2 linked regions of the Drosophila melanogaster genome follow. The protein of the gene in region 1 purifies or fractionates together with the protein of each later gene. This does not show direct contact. Each region holds a gene or a part of one and is shown on either strand. Other genes may lie near its edges. The genes, in order: wuho and mei-P26.

The links.
Region 2: the proteins of wuho (region 1) and mei-P26 purify together in Drosophila melanogaster (affinity purification with western blotting, with the first as the bait; one study listed by BioGRID). This does not show direct contact.

What each region holds. Positions count from the first base shown.
Region 1 is NC_004354.4:6,286,024-6,290,200, forward strand, and holds wuho (wuho), read left to right. Parts: upstream 1-2,076; 5' UTR 2,077-2,130; coding exon 2,131-3,405; 3' UTR 3,406-3,539; downstream 3,540-4,177. Other genes in the region: Top3beta (topoisomerase 3beta), read right to left, coding at 1-459, 799-1,546, 1,618-1,708; Rpt4 (regulatory particle triple-A ATPase 4), read right to left, coding at 3,596-3,698, 3,762-3,902, 4,032-4,177. UniProt on the Drosophila melanogaster protein: Required for the Mettl1-dependent formation of N(7)-methylguanine at position 46 (m7G46) in tRNA. In the Mettl1-wuho methyltransferase complex, it is required to stabilize and induce conformational changes of the catalytic subunit.
Region 2 is NC_004354.4:9,161,333-9,166,564, forward strand, and holds the start of mei-P26 (meiotic P26), read left to right. Parts: upstream 1-1,922; 5' UTR 1,923-2,066; intron 2,067-2,830; exon of another isoform or gene 2,831-3,002; intron 3,003-4,349; 5' UTR 4,350-5,127; intron 5,128-5,187; exon of another isoform or gene 5,188-5,202; 5' UTR 5,203-5,206; coding exon 5,207-5,232. Other genes in the region: Zpr1, read right to left, coding at 1-642; CG44532 (uncharacterized protein), read left to right, coding at 1,143-1,694.

The sequences.
Region 1 (4,177 bases):
TCCATGCCAACACTCAGCTTTGCCGTCGTCACGCGGTACTTAAGATCCCTCGACACCGTGCCCATGAAGTGCCGGCAGATGAACTCGTAGACACGCCAGGTGTCGCGATCGAAGTCACTGCGGTTGCCCAGTTTCATTGGCGTGATGGGTGGATGGTCGCCGGCATCCTTGCCCTTTCGCGGCGTCTGAATGTCGCCCAAAATGGAGCGCGCCTCCTCACCGAAGTCCGCCGATGGCTTCAGCACGTGCAGCACGGCCGGCAGATCGAAGTTAGTCGGATACTGATTGGTCTCTGTTCGCGGATAGCTGATGTAGCCCTGCGTGTACAGGCGCTCAGCTATCTGCATCGCCTGGAAGGGTCCGATGCCCAGTCCGGAGCTGCAGATACGCATCAGTTCGACGGTGTTCAGTGCCTGTGGTTTGCTCTTGTAGGCCTCCTTGCTGGCCACGCTCTCCACACTGAAAAAAGAAAAGAGAGGAAGTGGTCACTAGATGGAAAGGGAAAAGATAGTCAATTCTTGGTGAGCTTTCTTAAATTCTGGGGATCAGCAGCATTTTGTTTGTTTGCATTCGTTATGAACACAAACAGAAATTATGCTAATTCGGCATGATTGCTTCTCTGGCAGATACATAGATGATGTAGGCACCAGATTTGGAAGGAATGGCGTAATGGGTGGAAAAAAAAGAGTCAGCTGTCTTTCGAGTGACCAAAAAGTGGTTATAAGCAAACGGAAAAGTGACGAAAGCATGCTTATTTATAGACTAGCCGTAGTGACAGCAGCCATGATTAGGTCTTACGTGGCCTTCTTGTGCTCCTTGACGCGATTCAGCAGCATGATGGCGATGTCCTTCTTGAAGACCCGACCGCGCGCCCATTCAAGCGTGACTTCCGGCTGGCCGGCGAGGAGCTGCAGATGCCAGAAGCTCTCCGGCTTAAAGGTCTGGATGTCGTCGTGCCGCTTCACGCAGAAACCGAGCGTGGGCGTCTGGCAGGGACCGTAGGAGATCAGCGACGAATCCAGGTCACCGTAGCGATCCTGAAAGAACTTCGTTTGAAAGCGGGTAAAGGCGCAGCCAATGCGCAGGTCCAATTCCTGCCGGGCGTCCACCGACTTGGCCTCGTTCTCGTTGGGATGCCCCAACGTCTCCATGGCTTTCTTGATGTCCTTCTCCGTGATAGCCGAGAAGTGGGCACGGTATGTCACCTGATCGCTGTACACATTGTTGATGACATGCTTCACGGCGTCCATCACCTCGAAGCAGATGTTCTCGCCCTCCTTGTCGCAATCCAGCCAGAGCACCAGATAGTCACAGCCGCGCGCCTCGTGGGCCAGAAATTTGCGCATGTTCTGCTTGGGATTCGTTTCCTTCTTTTCGGTGGCACAACCGAAGAGCTGGATGGGATCCACCTTGTCCCAGCAGTTGTACTTCTTATTGAAGTCCAGCGACATGACATGACCGCACACGGAAGTCATCCGGAAGTGGACGCTGCCCTCGTTCCGAAAGTTGCCCGTCCACTCGTGCGTGGAGCAGCCGTTGCCGGTGCCTGGAGAGGATTACATACAATTTCGGTTGCTTGCTGAGTTTGGGAGTTCGTGTTGATCTACTGGCACTTACCACGCTTGGCCGTGCAGCGTCCGTTTGAGAGAATCCCCGCCAGCGAGGCCGCCAGCGAGGGCTTCTCGGCCACCATCAGCACGCTCTTCATGGCCCAAATCCAAGTCCCGCAATCCAATGGCCTATATAATTGATGATGAGATTTTTGCAGCGCTTCCTCCTGCCCACTCGTTCACTCGCATGGGATTCGCCGGTTTCGTGCTGCACACACACTCACACAAACGCACACGCACAGCATAAACGCACACGAACACGGGCTAATGGATGAATTGGACTTCCTCGCTATACATCCGTATAATCCCCTCTATTTAACAAATTTCACGGGCATTATTTTCCAGCCAATAATACGGTCTCACTGCCGTTGGCAGCAACAGGGTCACACTACATTCTAACGAATGCATCAATTGGTCATACCGCAGCGTGCAGCCCTGGTGAGCAGATCTTATCGCTCGTCGATACCAGTAGTCAGTAGTTGTGCAAACCTATCGGTGGCTATCGAATCGAGTCGCAAGAATGTGCACAACAATTTCGTTCGCGGAACCCGAAATCGTGCTCGGCCATGGCCGCAGGGTGCTCTTCGTGAACCCCGACGACCTGCAGATATTCAAGGAGATCGAGCTGCCGCCCGACCTTGGCCTGAAAGGCCATACATCCCAGTCGCAGGAATCGTGTACAGCCGCAGCAGCCGCATCCACAGCCACAGCCGCATCCGGTCAGGCACCGGGTGGCAAGGAGCAACAGCTTGCCAATCAGCCAGAGGAGGGCGGAACCTCTGCCAGCGCCTCCGGTTTGGGATGTGCCACCAGCACATCGGTACAGAATGTGGCCTACTCGCCAGACGGACAGCTGCTGGCCGTGACCACCAGTGGAAAACAGAAAGCTCTCCTGCTCTATCGTTCACGGCCGGAGAACGCCCGCCTGCTCTCCGCCCGCCCACTGGCCCGGGCGTCCAGTGCCCTGCGCTTCTGCAGCGACAGCAGCTCCATTCTGGTCACAGACAAGACTGGCGATTGCTATCAGTACGACTGCGTTGAGGTGGAGGCTCCGCCGCGCCTGCTGTTGGGCCATTTAAGTGTGGTATACGACATCCTGTGGTCGGAGGACCAGCAGCATATCATCACCTGCGATCGGGATGATAAGATACGCGTGACCAACTATCCCGCCACCTTTGACATCCACAGCTATTGCCTGGGCCACAGGGAGTTTGTCTCAGGCCTGGCACTGCTCACGGAGCAGCATATCGCCTCCGCTTCGGGGGACAAGACCTTGCGCGTATGGAACTACATTCAGGGCAAAGAGCTGCTGCAGCACGAGCTACCAGCACCGGCGGTTCGTTTATTGGTACGCCAGCTGGAGCCGGAGAAGGTCTTCCAGGCGGCGGTGCTCTTCTACGAGCACGTGGACGCCCTGGGATTGTATCGCCTGGAGCGCAGCTCCGATGACACCTGGAGCGTGACGGCCACACAACTGGTTTGCGCCGAAGCGGGCTCATGGAGCATTAGCAACTTTACTTTAACCAGCGACCGGATCTACATCACCGGCGCAGAGAACGAACGCTTAAGCTTGCGCGTCTACGACATCGCAACTGGCCAGCCGGCGAGCAGCGGCGTGCCCGAGGGCTGGCTGAAGATGGTGCTAGACGGATTGGGTGCCAACGAGGAGGGCGCACCGCCATTCATTCCCGAGGACTTGTCCGTTTGGTTTAAGAAGCGCTTCGACAACGTTAGCGACTATTTGGAGCGCAAGAAGCGGCGCATCGAGGAGCAGCAGCAGCAGAAGTGCGGCTAATCCCCGGGCGCCCACATACCCAAAGGAAATTAAATGAACCTAATCTTTACATAGCATTTAATTAGCATATGGAGAAGAAGCAACGGACTTTGTGTGACAGGCCCGTTGTGGGCATAATATATATATATCTGTATATGTGTGTAAATGGTGTATGGTTATCTCTATGGGGGGCGGTGGCGAGCACTGGCTCCTAGACGGGCTTGTAGTCCAGCTTGCTCTCCAACTTCTTGTTGTCCGACACCTTGCGCACCGCCTTCATGAAGTCCTCCTGGATGACGTACTCCCGCTCCGCACTGGATTTGCAAGAATAGTTACATTTTAGGGAGCTTATCAAGCGGTGGAAACTTCGCACTTACCGAATGGCAAAGAGACCCGCCTCCGTGCAGACATTACGCAGATCAGCGCCATTAAAGTTGTCCGACAGCTTGACAATGGCCTCGTAGTCGATTTCGCCGTGCTTGGCGATCTTCAGTGCGTGAATCTTGAGAATTTCCAACCTAAAAGGAGTTGGGGTTTTACCATCAGTATGACAAAGTATGTAAGTATCTAATCTGAGAAATCCCTATTCATATTTCACCAAGAAGACATCAAAGATAAGAGCCAATCAATGTGGGAATATAGCTTACCTAGCCTGCTCGTTGGGCAGCGGAATCTCGATCTTCCTGTCCAAGCGACCCGGACGCAGAAGGGCAGGATCGAGGGTGTCCGGACGATTGGTTGCCATGATCATCTTGACTTGGCCAAGCGAATCGAAGCCGTCCATCTGGTTGAG
Region 2 (5,232 bases), 2.9 Mb from region 1:
GAAGTACGAAGTCTTTAGCTGCGGATCGGCGGCAGGTGCCAGGGGATTCTCGATGAAACTATTGCCGGATATGTCCTCGAGAAGCACTTGAAAGGGTGTTGTCACCTCCTTTAGGCGGTGCAATCGCTCGATGTACTTTTCAATTGAAGCAGCTGTCTCCGGATGATCGATGCGCCGCTTCTCCTGATCCTGCGACAAGCCGGCTATCGTCCGCTCGATGATGCCTTCGACGGTGGTCACCTCGCCCTTCTGCGACTGCACCGGAATCTCTAGCTCGATCTCCGGTATGCTGATGCTGGAGTTATCCGAGCGCACCACGCGCCGATTGAGATCAGCCACGGATTGCACTCGCAGTTCGATGCGAATGCCGGACTTTTGGATCTCCGATGCCGACTGCATCTCGTTGTTGATGTGGCCGCAGTGGTCGCACTTGAAGGACATGAGCACCACCTCGCGAAAAAAGGGTATCTTGGTGGGCAGCAGCCGAGTGACTCCCGTTTCGAAGCAGTTCATGCAGGCGGATTCGACCTCCACTATCTCGTCGGTCTGCTCCGCATTGATTTCCCGGAAAATGGGCTCCGGCCGAATGTTCCCCGCACTCTCCGGCGGATTGCTACTGTTGGGGTCGCTCACGGTGGACATGATTTGATTGCTATCCACACGAAAGTTCCTGTTTAAGTGTGCTTTTTTAAATGAAATGTATATGTTTGGGGCGAAACGTGCAAGTTTAATCGATAGACGCTGACGATAAGTGTCGATAGTCGTCGTGTGACCGGCTTGCATATGCTTAAAACTCCTTAAATACCCAGAAGTGTGCTCGGCGCGTTGATCTTAAACGCTCGAGAATTTACTCGTGTTCGATAGAAAATTCCCCGAAATAAAAAGGTGCACAAATAAATTTAAGAGCTTACCTGTAGCGGTACACGGTAAGGCCATAAAACAAAAACTGATTGGCCATCTGCATATTAATCTGGGAATACCACCTACCTGACACACGTTCTTCCTAAAATTACCTGCGCTTTCAGAAATAACTGGAGTCCTTTTGTAGAGCGACAATTCAAGGCAGTACAAAAAGAGCCAAGCTTAGAGTATCATTGAATTGTTGATATTCCTGTTACCATTTTAAGAGACTTTCAATTAAGATGGCCGGATCGTCGAGCATTAGTGCGCTGTTGGCCGAGCAAATGAATTTGGGCGAGAAGATTCAAAGCATTATTCGCAATTATAAAAAGGCTCCGGCTCAACGGAAATCTAAACCTGGATATTTTGAAGGGCGACTATCCAAATTGCAAAGCTTGTGGGATGCATTTTCCAAAGGGGAAAATACTATTAAAACTCGCAACGAAAAGACGCAAATGGAACATACATACTTTAAAAACAACTTCTTTGTCAAAATAAAGACTTTGGTAGTTGAATATACATCAGAATTCAATCGAAAACTGCACGCATCGGAAAATGATACTGAAAACGTGCACGCATCGGAATTGGATACTAAACACGTGCCCGCATCGCAGCAGAATTCTGAAGATCAATTCAATTCTATGCTTAGAGAGCATCGGATATTGATGGACAGATTGGATAATATTATAAACGAGTTGGAATGCGTGACAAGGAATGGGATTAATCCCATCATTTTACCCTATTTAACTGATATGCAAAATATGCATGCGGAAATGAGTCAAACTGACATTTAAATGTAATGTAACATGTAATAATAAAGCGTATTTTGTGTTATTATTTAAATATATATATATATAATTATATTATACTTATTAAAGATGTAAGCTTTGCGGAATGAAAACTTAAAATAAATATTTGGCGACCGATACGCGTTTATTCAATATAACTATCGATATCAGGGCATCGCTTTTCAAAAACTATCGATACGTGGCTGTGCTGAAATATATATCTATCATCCCTAGCTGCACTGCATACAAAAGTTCGACGGGAGCAGTAAAGTAATTATTTGTTTAATCCAATAATTATCGACTCCAATCAAATTGGCGGTCTTCTGGTTGTTTTTAATGTCCCAGAACGTGCTAAATTCGCTGAATCAGTGAATAACGGTAACTGTAGATATAACTGCCTGTGGTGTGTAGTGTTCTCTTGTGTTCCTGCGTGTAGGCGTTTGTGTGGGACGGGCAAATATAAAATCGTAACGTAACAAGCAAAAGAGAGCAGCAAAAAACAAAAAGAACCAACAAAAAAACGTGTGAAAACGAAAACTACATTTAAATATAAGGTGGTGACAGTTGCGAAAAAGCAGTTAGCAGTTTAAATTGGACAGTAAAAGCTGACAACGCCGGACAGACAGTGAAGTGTTCAGGCATTTCAAGGACCTTTTTCGCCTCCTGTCTGCTGTTCGGTTTGTGAGAGTGTGTGTGTATGCATGTGCAGGCGTGTGTGTTGAGTGCCTTTTGACCACGACCACCTGGGCGGTAGTCAAGTGGAAATTTTGCGTTCAAGGACAACGGCAGTGCCCCCCCTTGTCGATTGTCACCCCGCGACCCCGTCGAGAGTTGTCTTAGCCACCACCCGCGCCCCCCAACTAAAACTTTTAAATCGACGACAGTTCGTCCGGTCGGTCAAGAATAGTGTTTATTCCGAAATCGAAAAAGGGAATTCAGTTTTAATTTCACATGGTGTGTGTGTGTGTTTTTTTTTGTATTCTGTATGTGTGGGTGCCGTTTTTCGTATTCGTATTTCATTTTTTGCCGCGTTGAGTGAGCTTGCGCACACCAATACGAACGAAATTGAGAACTTTTCTTCGCATAACCGATTTTTCGCTCTCTCTCTCTCTCAATCGCTTATCGCTCCTCTTCTATCTCTTTCGCAGCCCAGCCAGCGCTGCACTCGAAAATAACCGTTTGCGAGTAGCAAGAGAGAGAGCGGCACACATTTAAAAGTGAAATAAATCAAAAAGTACGTGGAAATGGACAAGAAAATATCAGCTGCGGCGCAGAATTGACAAAGTCGATAGGGGGACCAACAAAATCATCCAGGTCCGATAAAGCAAAGCAAAATAAAACAGAACAGTGAAAAAAAGGGGCAAAGCAGCGGTACTAAATTCCGTTTACCACGTGTGTTCGCTTGTAGGCGCTTGTGTCTGTGTGTATGCAGCTGATTCGGCATGTGGGTGTTTGGTTGCGAGTGTTTGGAGGGGGCACAAAACTAAAGTAGATTTTAAACTACCGCTCACTTCCGCTGATTTAAACGTATTTATTTAGGCAATTGCCTTGCCCCAATTGAATTAGTTGTTCAAGGACTTTGTGCCCCAGCTTGTCCTTGTTAGGGCAGCTATTTTTTTGCGCAGCTAGCGGATAAATGGCTAGAAAGGTCATCACTATGAACGCGCCTGCGTGAACGGGTAGCAAAAGCAGGAAGCAGGAGTAAAGAAGAGCTTGATGTGTGTGTGTGTGTGTGTGTGTGTGGCGCATAGCTACACATAACGGAGAAAAACGTAACGTAAACTTAACGCAAAAGGGAACCGATACTACCACCCCCTTCCCCACTCTCTCCATTAGTGGCCTAACATAGACATTAATTGGATAACCTACGATCGGATAAACATTCAATGCACGAAATCTATGTTGCTAGTTCTTATCCTTTCCCATTAAACTCTCAAAACGGCATTATTCCATTCCATCCTGGTAGCTCTTGCCGGCTATATTAATTCAAATTCGATTTCATGGGAAAGCGTTATACAAATGCCAAGCGTTTTGAATTGGACTACGCCTAAGGTCCCGTCGCAGTCGAATTGGAAGAAGGCAACAATTCTTGTCAGATGATGACATAAAATTATAGATATAGATATAGATAGATATAGATATTTCACTAAATAACACAATTTTGGTAATCAATAAAAAGTTTTCAAACCTAATCATATTTTTATTATTTTTTTTACTTAACTGACTTAGGACTTCAAAATGAATAAGAAAATTATTACCTATTGTATATCAATAAGAATCGCATTTCCAATTCTTGCTGAGTTACGTTAATTTTGAAATTAGATTTATCTGAAAAATGGCCAATATACTTTGCTAACATCCGGAAAGTATGCAGCAGAGTGTGTGAGTGTGTGTGTGCTGTTGCAAAAGCCAGAGGCGTTTTAAAGGGGGTTGCACTGCGTATGGAAAGGGTAAAAAAGAAATGTTTCATTTGATTTAATGCCAAATTCCCTTTCTCCATATGTCAGTAAGGTTCATCTATATTTGATATATTTTGTTCTGCGTTACAGAATTTATATTTCTGTTTTAGTTTTATATTTATTAATTTGTACATTTTTGTAAATTTCTAGCCACCGATTAACGTGATTTTTGTATCCATTGTTCTTTTTTAAATACCAAAAGGAGCGGCGCTGTCGTCCAATTTGCATCGCCGTGTTCTTCGTCAGTGTTTGTTGTCGTCTCCTCGTTCGTCCTTAATTTTATTTCGTCCTTGTGCAACAAGAAGAAGCAAAAGAACAGCCACATCAAACAGGAGGAGGATCACTGCAATACACAGTTTCCAAATGCTTTAAAAATATTCGGCAATATCTAAATATCTAGAAAAGTAAGACAAGCAGCGAATCAGCAACAACAATCGAAAACACCAAACAAAAACCAAAAAACTAAGATAAGCCGAAAGCCGAAGGAGGCTCGCAAATTTGTTTACAAATTTGCAATACATTTTAAGTAAGCGGAGGAGAAGAAGGGGTGTTTGTTGCGCATCAGTGTGTGTGTGTGTGCGTGCGCGTGGATTGTATAGGTCCTTCGCTCATTTTTACCCCGACGAAACGAACTATTGTTGGCCTTTTCTTGCGGCAATAGAAGGGACCTCAATTGGAATGGCCCTCGTGGGAGAGCGGAGGGACATTAGGGAGCAGCAGAAGTAGCAGCAGCAGCAGCAGCAGCAGCAGGATTAGGATCAGGAATAGGATCAGGAATAGGATCAGCAGCAAATGCAAGCAAGCGCAAAGGACTAGAAAAGCAAGCAGCGACCAGAATTTAGGAGCCAGGAAATACGGAATTGCAATCAGGAAACAGGAACGGGAACGGGAAAAGCAGCCCAAAAACAATAAAACAAAAGGAATCCATTGAATCGACAAAAGACAAGAACTTGTTGTATCAGAGCAGCGCCAAAAGAAAGGTGAGTAGTAGTTATTCAAGAATAATATTCGGCTTTACTGGTATTCCTGATCAATCAAAGTTAACTTGTTTGTAGGACAATGACTACTTTGGAGGAGCCTGTCCA